Pelodiscus sinensis: one gene and its partner. The protein of the gene in region 2 purifies or fractionates together with the protein of the main gene of each other region. This does not show direct contact. Links are inferred from orthologs where the notes say so. Each region holds a gene or a part of one and is shown on either strand. Other genes may lie near its edges. The genes, in order: SNRPA1 and U2SURP.

Evidence for each region.
Region 1: the proteins of U2SURP (region 2) and SNRPA1 purify together in Homo sapiens (affinity purification with mass spectrometry; 5 studies listed by BioGRID and IntAct, with this or other methods). This does not show direct contact. The link is inferred for Pelodiscus sinensis from reciprocal best matches to the Homo sapiens genes U2SURP and SNRPA1.

Annotation. Positions count from the first base shown.
Region 1 is NC_134724.1:7,056,377-7,064,040, reverse strand, and holds the start of SNRPA1 (U2 small nuclear ribonucleoprotein A'), read right to left. Parts: upstream 3,037-7,664; 5' UTR 2,935-3,036; coding exon 2,853-2,934; intron 826-2,852; coding exon 678-825; intron 1-677. UniProt on the Homo sapiens protein: Involved in pre-mRNA splicing as component of the spliceosome. Associated with sn-RNP U2, where it contributes to the binding of stem loop IV of U2 snRNA.
Region 2 is NC_134720.1:21,752,528-21,760,018, reverse strand, and holds the start of U2SURP (U2 snRNP-associated SURP motif-containing protein), read right to left. Parts: upstream 3,168-7,491; 5' UTR 3,035-3,167; coding exon 2,990-3,034; intron 1-2,989.

The DNA of each region.
Region 1 (7,664 bases), on a different chromosome or scaffold from region 2:
CAGTCTGATTTATGTTGGTAATAAATGTTAATAAAAACCTGCAGACACATTTTAACCCTCAAATGCAATACATGTACAAGGGGTCACTTGGTTTGGGAATCATTCACCTTGCATCAAGTAAAACAGTTTAAATCTTTATTTTGTTCCTGTAATTACCTCTGACTTGTACCCTCACTTACCACTGTCCCAAACTTCCTGATCATGTTTACATTTTTCACTGATCTGAATGTAGGAATGATAAACAAAAAACTACTGAATCTCGGCACACTTGACCAAATCACAAAGCCCAAGCCTTGGTTTTCCTGTCCATAAAATGAGGATAATATTTATTGACGTTATCCAGGATTTAAAAGGATTGGTGCTCATAAAGCACACTGAAAATGAAGCAAACTACAATGGTTCTCCATAACTGTAACATGCTGCATTCTTCCATTAAAACAAATCAATGATCATATGCAGAGCTCGACAATTACGGCAATCTACTCGCCCATGGCGAGTAGATTTTAGCCTGGCACGGCGCTGCAGCACAATCAGCGTATGCGTAGCACGGTCTGCGCATGCGCAGTGCGCCAAACAGGGGCTCGCTGCCACTTGTCAAGCCCTGATCGTATGTAAGTTGCAGAACTGCAATGATACAAGCAAACAGCCAATGCTGAAAGCTTCCACGTGCCACCTACCATATCCTGTTGTTATTCATCAGTAACGTTTTCAGCCTCTTCAGCAGAGGGAACCCATCCAACTTGCGGATCTCATTGTCGGAGAAATCAATGGCATCGAATTGGTCCAAGGTGGCACCCAGGTTCTCAATGACGGGGATTTTGTACCCTGCGGGGAAAGCGTCAGACCAAGGTTAAATAGAGTCGGGGGGGAGGAAAGGGGGCATTGGGGTGGAGTTGGGCCATTCAACAAGGGATGCAGGATTCCCAGGTTAGAAGCAGCATGTGACATCACTGTCTCCCTCATGAATCCAGAGTGAAGCCTCCCTACTTCCCCCACTCTTCCACCCCAGCACAAGCTAGGGATGTCAGCAACTAGTTGAGTATCCAATAAGCAAAAAGCTTATCAGGTAGTCAAGTAGTGATTAGGGATGTTAAATTTAGATTAATTAATTAATTGAATAGTTGATGGGATTTCCATCTACTATTTGATTAGTTTATAAGGGTGCCTTTGCCTTTGAACTGAAGCAAGAGTCCAGTTCAAAAGCGGAAGCCCACCAGGGAGCGCTGGACCAGAGCACTCACCCGCTGGCCCTGCACACACTGCAGCATCTGAGCCATTTCAAAAACAGAATTGCAGCAGAAGTGGTGTGAGCAGAGATTCTACCGTTTCCCGCTGTGCCTCTACCTCACCTGCCCCCCACCCCCCCGCAGAGAATGGTGCTGAGGCAAACTGGCTTCAATTCCCCCCCACTTGCTGCCTCTAGGAGAGGCAGTGGAGGGGGGGGCAGCAAAGTAGGAGCTGGTGTTGGGGGGAGCTGGCTTAAAAGCTGGTTCCTCACAGCACCATCTCTGGGGGGCAGAAACACGGTGGGGAAACAGCACGAGTAGGGACTGAAGGAGTCGCACTCACCCTGGCTCCCACTGCGGCACTTCAGCCTGTGAAATGTAGCAAGAGCCCCATAGCGCCGCAGTGGGAACACAGGGCGAGTGGGGACTGCCTGAGTCCCTATGCACCCAGTGCACCCTGCTGTGTCGTGCCCCGCCTCCCTCCACCCCACTCCACAGCCTCTATGAGAACCAGGGCCGTTCACCTCCAACAGAGGCTGCTGGATTCAGCACCAGGCAGGCCCGAGCAGTCCCAACTTGTGCTGGTCCGATACTGCGCCTCTGCATTTTAAATGGAGCAACAGCCCAGCAGCTCTTGCCACATTTAACACGCAGAGTTGCAGCACAGGTGGCTCCTGGAGCTGGCACGAGCCAGGACTACTCCGTCTCAGCTGCAGCCGGCTCCCGGTGTGATCCCCGCTGCGGCTCTGCACACCCGCCCTATCGACTAATTGTATCGACTAGGCCAGTGGTTCCCAAACTTTTTGGCATCACGCCCCCCTTTTTGATTTTTGAAAAACCCTCACGCACCCCCTCCAAATAGCAGTAAAACTTGTTGAGGGGGGAAAAAAACTGAACAGGGCAGCAAAACTTGACTGGCGGGGGCGGCTGGGTCACTTCGCACGGCCCCCTGGAATTTCTGCACACACCCCCAGTTTGGGAACCCCTGGACTAGGCCATTAGCCAGGTACCCAAGATGTAAAATTGTCAGCACAAAACCCGCCCCGCTACAACTCCCCCCACATACTCCCGCCCCACACCTGACCCACCCCCCACATACTCCCGCCCCACACACTCCCGTCCCCACCCCACACCTGACCCACCCCCCCACATACTCCCGCCCCACACCTGATCCATCCCCCCACATACTCCCGCTCCCGCCCCACACCTGACCCATCCCCCCACATACTCCCGCCCCCCGCCTGACCCACCCCCCCGTGCCTCCGCCCCACACTCCCGCCCCCCACCTGACCCACCCCCCCACATACTCCCGCCCCCGCCCCACACCTGACCCATCCCCCACATACTCCCGCCCCCGCCCCACACCTGACCCACCCCCCCACATACTCCCGCCCCCGCCCCACACCTGACCCATCCCCCCACATACTCCCGCCCCCGCCCCACACCTGACCCACCCCCCACATACTCCCGCCCCCCGCCTGACCCACCCCCCGTGCCCTCGCCCCACACCTGACCCACCCCCCCACCTGACCCACGCTCCCGCCCCCCCACACACACCCGGCCCACCCCACGCTCGGCCGCGACCCGAGGCCCCTCCCCGGCGCGCGGCTCCCGGGCGGGCCTCACCGCGCAGATCCAGCTCGCGGTCGCGCACGGCGTTGGTGTACTGCGCCGCCTGCTCGATCAGCTCCGCCGTGAGCTTCACCATCCTGCCGCGCGCCCCGCACGCGTCCCGCCGGGCCTACAGCGCCGAGCGAGCCGAGCGCCGAGACCCCGAGCGGCACAGGCCGAGCGGCCGAGCGCCGAGCCTCGGAGCGCCGCCTCTTGGCCCCGCCTCCCGGCGCCATAGCGACGGAGGCGGCTTCCCCCGCCCTTCAGCGAGGAGTTCCCCCCCCCCCCCAGACACACCTGCCCTTCCCCCAGCCACAGGGTCAGCTCCCCCCTTCCACTGCCCATACAGCCAGCTCCCCCTGCACTCTGTGGGGCAGGTGCATAGAAGGGCAGTAGTGGGGGCAAAAGATCGATCTGGCTTCAAGATTAAACTAGATATCGGCTACGTCTACACGGGCATGATTTTCCGAAAATGCTTTTAATGGAAAAGTTTTCCGTTAAAAGCATTTTTGGAAAAATCGCGTCTAGATTGGCAGGATGCTTTTCCGCAAAAGCACTCAGACTAGATGATCATAATGGTCCCTTCTGACCTTAAAGTCTATGAGGTGCCCCTCGTAAGGCAGGGACACGGGGCTCTGTGGGGGCCCTGGTCAGTGCAAGGTGCTGCTGTGATTAACAGTAGGCGGAAGGAGACGGGAGCTCTGCTCTCTGATTGTAATTTCAAGTCACACCAGTGAAATGTGAGAGCTGGGGAAACACAAGACAGGACTGTGCAGCACTTTAAAGACTCACAAGATGGTTTATTAGGGGATGAGCTTTCGTGGGCCAGACCCACTTCCTCAGATCAAATTGTGGAAGAAAATTGGCATGACCCTATATACCAAAGGATACAATTAAAAAAAAAGTGAACACATATAAAACTGACGCTTCAGATTTAAGAACAGAGGAGGAGCGAGGGGGGAAGGTTTGCCAAAGAATCAATGCACACAAAACAGACAACAATCAGAGCCACAGGGCCATAGCCATAGCGCTCTGCTAATCATGCTCCCTGCACAGCTCTGCTCTGTATGACTTTCCCTGAAAGCCGTCTGAGCTGGTTCTGTCAATCAGGCTTTCTGCAGAAGTAGTGCCTAGGAGGGCCACCTGTAGGCCTGCATCCTGATTAGATTTCCAGAAGTCTTTTTTGGCCCACCACATTCAATACACAGTCATCTGAACTCCTGAGGATGCATTGTGTATTTTTTTGTCAGGTGTCTTTCCTGTAAATGCAACAATGACCAATTTTACAGATGATCTTTAAAATTGGAGGTGTGGAAAATAGGCCAGTCAAGCGAACCAAACTGCAAACGGAGATGGAGAAATGAGCTCAGTGGGGAATACAGGATAGGAGGCAAGATTTTGTCCTGTTAAGTGTAAAGTTTTGTGCTCACAAAGAGGAAATAACCAGTATAGAGACAGGGGCATCTTACATATAAACTCATGGATATAACCAGGTAGCCACACCTAATCCATAAAAGCTACTTTATTTTCCTTCCTTATTTCCTCCCTCCTAAAATCTCACCTCCCTAAATAGCCTTTATTTTTGTAATGTACATAAGAACGGCCGTACTATGTTAGACAAAAGGTCCGTCCAGCCCAGTTTTCTACAGTGGCCAATGCCAGATGCCCCAGAAGGATTGAACAGAACAGGGTATCATCAAGTGATCCCTCCCCGTCACCCATTCCTAGCCTCTGATAAACAGAGTCTAGGGACACTATTCCTACCCATCCTGGTTAATAGGCATTGATGGACCTATTCCATCAAAAGCAGCCCAAATGATGTCAGCAGAAGCCAAGCTGAGGGAGCATGGGGTACAGATCACAGCTAGAGGATCTCTGCATCTTGGGGTCTTCAAAGTATTTGAAGGCTTCAATATCTGAGATATAGGTGAGAGGATTATTCTAGGAGGGGTGGGTGAGATTTTGTGGCCTGCACTGTGTGGGGGGTCAGACTGGATGATCATAGTGGTCCCTTCTGACCTTGGAGTCTATGAGTCTATGAGTCTATGAGTGGATAGATGAGAGCAGAAGGGACAGGTAGTGCGCAGAGCATTTCATTTTGTCAGTGCTGTCTTTGAAGTCCCAATAATTAGTCAATGAAAGCCCAGAAATTCAAGATTCTTGGTCTTTATTTTCGTGGTAGATTCATTACACTGGGGCTTCTTTCAAATAAGATGAACATTCTGATTAAGGACTAATCCAACATATGGTCCCATCCTAAGGCAGCTAGTGATGCTGTCTTTGTGTGGCTCAGTTAGCACTAGCCAGCCCTGTGCTGCAGAGGCAGGGAGGAAGGAAGAGAGCTAGAAGAAGGAATGAGCCTTGAAGAAACAGCAAATTAAAACATCCAGGAGGGAGGGCTGAAAACCCACAGAATCCATCGGGGGAGTTTCACATCATTGGGGAGGTGTGAAAGCTTTGACTGTGGCTAAATTGCAGACATGGAGCTGAGAAGGTTTGGACTCTCCCAACCAGTTACAGGTTTTGCTGTGTGAACTTGGCTAAGTTATGGGCAACAACATGATGAACAATGGCCATCTGGACTGTGTGGCTTAGTTTTTAGGTGTCCAACCTGAGAGTGGCATGAGGGGTTGAGCAGCTGAACCTCTTGTTGACTTCAGTAGAAGTTGTAGATGATCAGCACTTTGTAAAATTATCCTGAAATACAGGACACAGAGTCTTTGTCTACACTGCAGGGTTTTTGCACAAGAAGCTTTTTGTGGAAGAGATCTTCCGCAAAAACTTCTTGTGCAAAAACACATCCACACCTCAAAAGCACACTGCAAAAGCAATGTGCTTTTGCGCAAGAGAGCATCCACACTGCATGGATGATCTGGCACAAGAAAGCTCTGATTGCCATTAACAGAATGGCCACCAGAGCACCCGTGCTTTTTCTGATAGGCTCTTTTTGCTCAAGAAACCTCTGTGGAGCATCCACACGTGCCTTTTGGCACAAGAGCTGTAGCGCAAAAAGGAGTTATTCCTCATGGGGAGAGGAATAACTCTACCGGCAAAAGCCCTCTCTCCTGTCAATGTACTGTATTGTTTTGCGCAAAAACCTTGTAGTGTAGACATAGGGTACGTCTAGACTACCAGGTTTTGTCGACAGAAGTTTTGTCGACAGTATCTGTTGACAAAACTTCTGTCGACAAAGAGCGTCCAGACACATTGAGTTCTGTCGAAAAAGCAAGCTGCTTTGTCGACAGAACCCTGTAGTCTAGACGCAACCCTACAGGCAATAACACCTTCTGTCGACAGAACTCTGTCGACAGAAGGTGTTATGCCTCGTAAAATGAGGTATACCAGCGTCGACAAAACTGCTGAGTTCTGTCGACGTTATGTCGACAGAACTCATCGGTAGTGTAGACGCTGGTATAGTTTTGTCGACAAAAGTGGACTTTTGTCGACAAAACTCAGTAGTCTAGACACACCCATAGACAGAGCTTTCTTGAGAGCCCGCACAAAACTATAGAGTGAATTCCTCCAGACACTAATCACCAACTTCACCATGTGCATTGCTGTAACAAACATATAGACAGATGTGTATATAAGAATCCAGAAAAACAAACACTCCACTGCATACACTTGGCCCCGATGGGAGAACAAACAGGACATATATTAGTCAGGTTGCCTAATGCTTTATGGATGGTGCTCAGACTTTATAAGTGTGGTGTAAGAACTTTTACCGCATAGAATAACTCCAAAGTGTCTTAAGGTGAGTTCTCCAAAACTGAGTTTCTCAGCCTGCAAAATGAGGATGGGCAAACATTTATCTTATACAGGGAAATGGATTTTGGAATTGTATTTTGGAAAGCAGTGGTGTAGGAAAGGACTTGGGTGTCATGATGGATAACCAATTGACCATGAACTAGTACTGTGATATAGGGATGTAAAATCCTGTTTAATCAGTTAACCACTTAAATGGCCTCCTGCCCATGGTATGGCACAGCAGGCCTGGCCAGGCAGGAGTGGTTCTTCACCTGTGGCACCGTGAGCCTAGCCAAGCTGGAGTGGCTCTTGACCTGCAGTGTGGTGAGCCCAGCCGAGCTGCAGTGGGCCTGGCCATGTTAGAGTGACCCCCACCTGTGGAATGGCACAGCAGGCCTGGCCAGGCTGGAGTAGTCCTTCACCTGTGGCATGGTGGGCCTAGCTGGGCTGGAGTGGCTCTTGACTCGTGGCATGGTGAGCCGGCCGAGCTGGAGTGAGGCAGAGGGCCTGGCCAGGTTATAGTGGCCCCCGCCTGCGGTATGGCACAGGCATGGGGCTGCTTCAACCAGGCCAGGCCCACCACAGGCAGTGGGGGTCACTCCAGCCCGGCTGGGCCCACTGTGCTGCACCACAGGCAAGCAGGGAGCTGCTCCAACCCAGCCAGATTACTGGTTAACTGCGGGATGTTGCTAGCCGATTAACCGGTTAACTGTTGACATCCCTACTTGTGATGTGATGGTTAAATAAGCCAATGTGATCCTTGGATATATAAGCAGAGAACTATATTGCTCAGAAAGAGGGAGGTATTGTTATCACAGCCTGGGGCATCCCTAAACCCCACAAGGACAAGGTCCAGTTCTGGTGTCCACACTTTTAAACAGATGACAACAATTTGGAAAGAGTTTAAAAAACAGCCACAAGAATGATCTAAGGTCTAGAAACATGCCTTGTAGTGAGAACCCAAGCAAATTCAATCTAGTTAGACTAACAAACTAAAATATGAGATTATAATAAATACCTACACAGGGAAACGCCTTCCAATAGTACAAGGTGCCACAGTCTAGAAGACAAAGGCTCAAC
Region 2 (7,491 bases):
AATGACATCCCTACTTCCTACAACTCTTCCCTCCTTCCCAGCACTTTCGGGGTGTGCAAATCGCCTGATCTGTGTTCCATATGTGCTCCTCCCACTCCCTCCCAGAAATTGAACAGCTGCAAAAAAAGCAGGGAGAGGAAGGAAAAGGAGCAGAGATGAAGCGTCAATCAGGTGATTCACATTTCAGAAAGTGCTGGGAGGGAGAGAGAGAAAGAGGTGAGAAGAATAGAAAATATGGGGCTCCAGTGTATGAAGCATGTGGGGGAAGGGAGCAGATAAAGGGTCTTCAGGCCACAAGTGGAGCCCCAGTGGGCCGCATACAGTTCCTGAGCTGCAGTTTACCCACCACTGATCTACTCAGTGCACGCTTGCTGATACGTTGTGAACAAAGTCACTCCTCTGAATTGGTGTAAATCATTATCCAGGCACTTTAAAACAAAGTTCCTCCAGTTGCTAAGCCAACTTTTCACAGCAGCACTTGCTTTTACACTGTTAGGAGTAGAGCAGTACAGTAATAAATTCAAATGTCATGTGTTTCAGAAGAAACTACTACTAATTCTTATTCAGGTCTATAAGTGATATGGATCAATGGAAAAAAACAACATTCCAGTGATGGGAGACAATAGGTATTTAATACGTACATATAGCACATTTCATCTGAAAAGTTAAGAGGTTAAATAATTTATGTATTAAGTAGCAATGGAAACAGAATCCTGGTCCTCCAAGTCCCATATCCTATTCCTGGTCCATGACCCTTCCTCCTGGGAAGGCTGAATAGTCAGCTGCTAGGAAGAACTACATACAGTTACTGGCTAGCCATTCTAAGGCTTTGTCTACAATTGCACTCTTCTAAGCAACATTTTTGTTAATTACTTTTGTGAAAAAATACACCCCAAACCAATGTTTCACCAAGACAAGCACTAGTGTACACAGCTCTATGTCACTAGAAGATACTCTCACGCTGACCTATCTACTCCTGTTTATTGGGAGGGTGCTTTAATCTCCTGCCAGCATAGAGCAGCTACACAGGAGACCTGACAGCAGTGCAGCTTTATAATGGTACAGCCGTACCATTATAAGGTCCACAGTGTAGTCATAGCCTAATACCAGCAACATTATTGAGTATGAGATAATTTATTGCTTAACTATGTCTAGGATCATTGTCAGATGCTAAAAAGCATTCAACCCTGGGAGTAGACTAGAGTCCTTACTAATTCCTCACTTTTGTGGGAGACGCAGGAATTAATGGTTCTCCCACATCTGGATATTACTCCTAAGCATCCACTCTTGCCAAATGCAGATTTTGTGTGTGGCTTTAAACAAACTAACCAGTGACTACCATACAGTTTTGACTTGGACCTCGCTATCCTTGGTAATGTTAATTATGGAAAATAAACTTGGCTCACCAAAGAAAAACATCAATGTTTTCAATCAAAAGAGAGAACCAGGCCATGGAAACAGAAAAATCAACCTCAAGTTAACTACAAGTTTTTAATCCACAATTGGGAAACAATAGCCAAACAGGTATAAATATTTCCAAACTAAAAAATGGGACCACCTATGTGAATCAAGTTAAGCACATGCATGTGTCTGCCAGACTGAGACTTAATATAACAACAACCTCTTCCTAATTTCCAACCACTACCCCAAAAATATCAATTCCAAACATTTCTAGACTTTTGAGTCAAGAGGATAGAGTATTTAGGCCTCAATCGTACAAGTGCAATGGCTATCTAATCACACAGGATCTGTGCAAATGCTGCTGCAGGACTACAGAAAATACTGGCTTATTCCAGTACTACAGGAAATAAAGTTAGCCATGGAAATTAGGAACAGAGAGGAAGAATGACTGAAAAGTTGTCAAGCCAAACAATCTAGTGGGGGAAATGCCTAGTAATCTGAGCACAGGATTAGGAATCAGACACTAGAAAAATGCATGGGATTTAGGACAAGTCTGTCCATTTCTCCAGAGTCTCTAGCTACATCTACACTAGTGAACTTACAATACAGATGAACCAATGCAGTTGAGCCACTATACACTGGCTTGTGTAGCCACATTATGGCAAAGGGAATGAGAGCTCTTCAGTTGACATAAAACCATATCAATGAGCAGCAGTAGCCGTATCAGGAAAAGTTATCCCACCAATGGTGCACACTACCATTTAAGCTGGCAAAACTTTCACACCCTTGAGCAACATTAAGTTTTGCTGGCAAAAATGGTAATGGGAAGATGGCCTAAGAACACCTGAATCGCTTGCCCTCACCCCCCCCCCCCCCCACACACACACACATTATAACAAATAATTAAAACATAAAACAGATAGAATAGGGAAAATGTTTTCAATCTGGAACTGAAACTTAAAACTACTCATCACCAGCGCCAGACGCTTTAAAAATAATGTTTTCAAGCAAGGCCCGGGAAAGCTACTGAGACTGTTTCAGGGAAACAAAAAATAAGGCAAAATCCATCCCAATGAGCAAAGAAGCTATTTTAACAGGTATCCAGGTAACGGGGGACACACCGATCCCAACCCCCCGAATATGCAGCGCTGAGAGGGGGCGAACCCAGAGGAGCAAGGCTGCATCTTTGCCCCGCTCTGCCCCAACGACTATTCCCGCTCGGGAGGGGGGACGCGGTGCCAGCAGAGGGTGCAGGGAAGGGACCCGAGGGCTCATGGTGCAGTGGGGGGGGGGGGGGGCGCATCCCACAGGCCTTACACACGCACCCCGATGCTGGACAAGCAGTAGGAGAAACACTGGGCCCGACCTCCCTGCCCCAGCCCTTGCCCGCCGCCCCATCCATTCCGCCGCCAGCAGCCCGCAGTAACGCCGCGGACGGGCGGGACGGAGCAGGCCGCACGGCCTGCGCGGCCGGGTCCGAGCGCCCAGCACGGCCTGACGCCTCCGGGGCATGGATGCCGCTCCCGCCCCTGCCCCGCGCGGGGCCCAGGCAGCGGCGCCGTTTGCAGGGCCCGCGGGGCGGCCTCACCTTCGCACTGGCTTTCTGCGACCCGCCTGGCGTTTTGTCCGCCATCTTGCTTCTCTCCCCAGCTCAGCCCTGGCGGCGAAGAATCGAGCACCGATTGTAAAGGGAAGGAGACTGGCCGCGCTGAGGCGGGGAGGAGGAAGTGCGGCGAATCGATGGCTGAGCCAGCGATTCGGTCGGCCGGGCTGCTGCGGCTGGCGCCGCGCGGCAGGAGGGAGGGTGCTGCGCGCGCTGCCAGCCCCGCCCCGAGTGGCTGGCTCCAGGGGGCCTGGCTCCCTCGCCACTGACGCGAGTTTAGCGCCGGGGTCACGCCGGCTCCACGCGGGTGGCAAATAGGCAGCGGCGAGCGCTGGCAGGGGTGTCAGAGTGCGGGGTTGGAGGCGGGGGCGGTAGCCGAGGGGCTGTGTAACCGCATGAACACTTAGCGACACCCGACTCTTCGGAAGTCCCAGGGCACTCCCAGCCCCGCCCCCTGCCACCGCCGCTGCTGCCTCTTGGTCAGGTGGGAGGCCGAGCTGCTTCACAAGAGGAGCCAGTTTAAAAAACAGCTCACCTCACCGGCTGCCTGCCGCCCTGCTGCCTCTGATACAGAGGCAGCAGCCTGTCTGTGGGAGGGTCCGAGCTCCCTGCAGACAGAGGCTGCTGCCTCGGAGCAGCTTCTGCCTGCTGCAGGCCCAGGCTCGCTGAGGACAGGCTGCTCAGAAGGATGTGGAGCAGCCTCCACAGGGAGCTCAGACCCCCACAGGCAGAAGCTGCTTTGCAGCAGCCAGGGACAGATGAGAGTGCCACGGGGACGGGCAGCAACATTTCGCAGCCCCCCCCCCCTTTGACCCAGCACATGCACTGTCGTGCCAAGGCTCAAGCACGGGGCCCGGGGCAGCCGCCCCGCTCGCCCTGCCCTAAATCCGCCGCTGGCAGCAGCCTCCCCTGCAGTTCAGGAGGCGGGGCAGGCGGCACCATGGATCTGGTGCTGAGGTGAAATGGCTTTTAAGCCTGCTCCCCCCAGCTCCTGCCTGTCCCTCCTCACTGCCTCCTGCAGAGTTGGGTCCGCAGAAGCCCATGCACATAGGGAGCTGGCTTGAAAGGCAGCACATGTATCAGCTCCAGCCTGCCCCCCTCACCTGCCGCAATGCTGCCTCACCGAGAAGTCTCCTCGCCGCACAAGAGTGTGCAGCTGCCGGAGAGACAACACTGGCTGTTTAAAGCAGTCAGCCTGTCTCTCTAGCCCAGTGGTGGGCAAAGGGCGCTATGTGGGCTGGATCCGGTCTTCCAAGTCAGTGGATCCAGCCCGCAGCCGCCCTGCTGCTCCCCAAGCCAAACAGGGAGTGGGGGTGGGGAGCATGTGAAGTCCTCCCACCTCTCACCCTCCGCGGCTAGAGAGACACACCAGCTGTTTTAAAACAGTCATCATGTCTCTCTAGCTGCTGCACACCCCTAGCAGGGTGGAGAAAGGACACAAGAGACTTTGCCAAATGCACCTTAATATTTAGGGAAGAAGGCAGGGACAAAAATAGCAAAAAGAAGAAAATGGATGACAGCATAAAGGGCATAAGAACGGCCGTACTGGGTCAGACCAAAGGTCCATCTAGCCCAATATCCTGTCTGCCGACAGTGGCCAGCACCAGGTGACCCAGAGAGGCAAGCGATTTGTCTCCTGCCATCCCTCTCCAGCCTCTGACAAACAGAGAACAAGGACACCATTTTATCACCTGGCTAATAGCCTTTTATGGACCTAACCTCCATGAAATTATCTAGCTTCTCTTTAAACTCTATTATAATCCTAGCCTTCACAGCCTCCTCTGGCAAGGAGTTCCACAGGTTGACTACACGCTGTGTGAAGAACTTTCTTGTATTAGTTTTAAACCTGCTACCCATTAATTTCATTTGATGTCCTCTAGTTCTTCTATTTAGGGAACTAATAAATAACTTTTCTTTATCCACCCTCTCCACACCACTCATGATTTTATAGACCTCTATCATATCCCCCCTCTGTCTCCTCTTTTCTAAACTGAAAAGTCCCACTTGCTTTAACCTCTCCTCATATGGGACCCATTCCAAACCCCTAATCATTGTAGTTGCCCTTTTCTGAACCCTTTCCAAGGCCAAAATATCTTTTTTGAGGTGAGGAGACCACATCTGTACACAGTATTCAAGATGTGAGCGTACCATAGTTTTATAAAGGGGCAATAAGATATTCTGGGTCTTATTTTCTATCCCTTTCTTAATAATTCCTAGCATCCTATTTGCCTTTTTGACTGCCGCTGCACACTGTGTGGAAGTTTTCAGAGAACTGTCCACAATAACTCCAAGATCTCTTTCCTGATTTGTCATAGCCAAATTATCCCCCATCATACTGTACATATAGTTGGGGTTATTTTTCCTGATGTGCATTACTTTACACTTATCCACATTAAATATCATTTGCCATTTTGTTGCCCAATCACTCAGTTTGGTGAGATCTTCTTGGAGTCCCTCACAGTCTGCTTCTGTCTTGACTATCCTAAACAGTTTGGTATCATCTGCAAACTTTACCACCTCACTGCTTACCCCTTTCTCCAGATCATTTATGAATAAGTTGAACAGGATTGGTCCTAGGACTGACCCTTGGGGGACACCACTAGTTACCCCTCTCCATTCTGAAAATGTACAATTTATTCCTACCCTTTGTTTCCTGTCTTTTAACCAGTTCTCAATCCAAGAAAGGACCTTCCCTCTTATCCCATGGCCATGTAATTTACACAAGAGCCTTTGGTGAGGGACTTTGTCAAAGGCTTTCTGAAAATCTAAGTATACTATATCTACTGGATCCCCCTTGTCCGCATGTTTGTTAACCCCTTCAAAGAACTCTAAAGATTAGTAAGACAGGATTTCCCTTTACAGAAACCATGTTGACTTTTGTCCAACAAATTATGTTCTTCTACATGCTTCACAATTTTATTCTTTACTATTATTTCGACTAATTTGCCCGGTACTGAAGTTAGACTTACCGGTCTGTAATTGCCAGGATCGCCTCTAGAGCCCTTTTTAAATATTGGTGTCATGTTGGCTATCTTGCAGTCATTAGGTACGGAAGCCAATTCAAGGGATAGGTTACAAACCACAGATAATAGTTCAGCAATTTCCCATTTGAGTTCTTTTAGAACCCTTGGATGAATACCATCCGGTCCCGGAGATTTGTTAACATTAAGTTTTTCTATTTGTTCCAAAACCTCCTCTAATGACACTTCAATCCGGGACAGTTCCTCAGATTCATCACCCACAAAGGACAATGCAGATTTGGGAATCTCCCCAACATCCTCAGTCGAGAAGACTGAAGCAAAGAAATCATTTAGTTTCTCCGCAATGGCTTTATCGTCCTTGATTGCTCCTTTTATAGTTCGATCATCTAGGGGACCCACAGGTTTTTTAGCAGGCTTCCTGCTTCTAATGTACTTAAAAAACATTTTGTTATTTCTTTTTGAGTTTTTGGCTAGCTGTTCCTCAAAATATTTTTTTGCTTTTCTTATTACATTTTTACACTTGATTTGACAGTGTTTATGTTCCTTTCTATTTATCTCACTAGGATTGGACTTCCACTTCTTAAAAGATACCCTTTTGTCCCTCACTGCTTCTTTTACATGGTGGTTAGGCCACGGTGACTCTTTTTTAGGTCTCTTGCTATGTTTTTTAATTTGGGGTATACATTTAAGTTGGGCCTCTATTATGGTGTCTTTTAAAAGTTTCCATGCAGCTTGCAGGGATTTGGCTCTAGTCACTGTGCTTTTTAATTTCTGTTTAACTAACCCCCTCATTTTTGTGTAATTCCCCTTTTTGAAATTAAATGCCAGGGTGCTGGACTGCTGAGGTGTTCTTCCCACCACAGGAATGTTGAATGTTATTATATTATGGTCACTATTCCCAAGCGGTCCTGTAACGGTTATTTCCTGGACCTGATCCTGAGCTCCACTCAGGACTAAATCAAGAATTGCCTCTCCCCTTGTGGGTTCCTGCACCAGCTGATCCAAGAAGCAGTCATTTAAGTCATTGAGAAATTTTATCTCCGCTTCTCTTTCTGAGGTGACATGTATCCAGTCAATATGGGGGTAATTAAAATCCCCCATTATTATAGAGTTCTTTATTTTGGTAGCCTCTCTAATCTCCCTCAGCATTTCGATGTCAGTATCGCTGTCCTGATCAGGTGGTCGGTAATATATCCCTACTGCTAATTTCTCATTATTGGAGCATGGAATTACTATCCATAGCGATTCTACTGAACATAAAAACGAAACAGGAATGGGATAAGAAGCCAAATGGAAGGTTGGAAGGGAACTAAAAGGGGGAAGTGTGTGAACAGAAAGAAAGGGACTGAGCAAAGGGGAAGAGAGGGAGAGATCAAGGATAGACAGAGAAGAAAGGGGAAATGAATGAGGGGAAAGACAGGTTCTGAATCAGCGTGGTACAAGTTGAACCTCTGTTAACTGGGACTCCTTGGTCCAGCAACGGACCACGGATGTTCCAGGACCAGA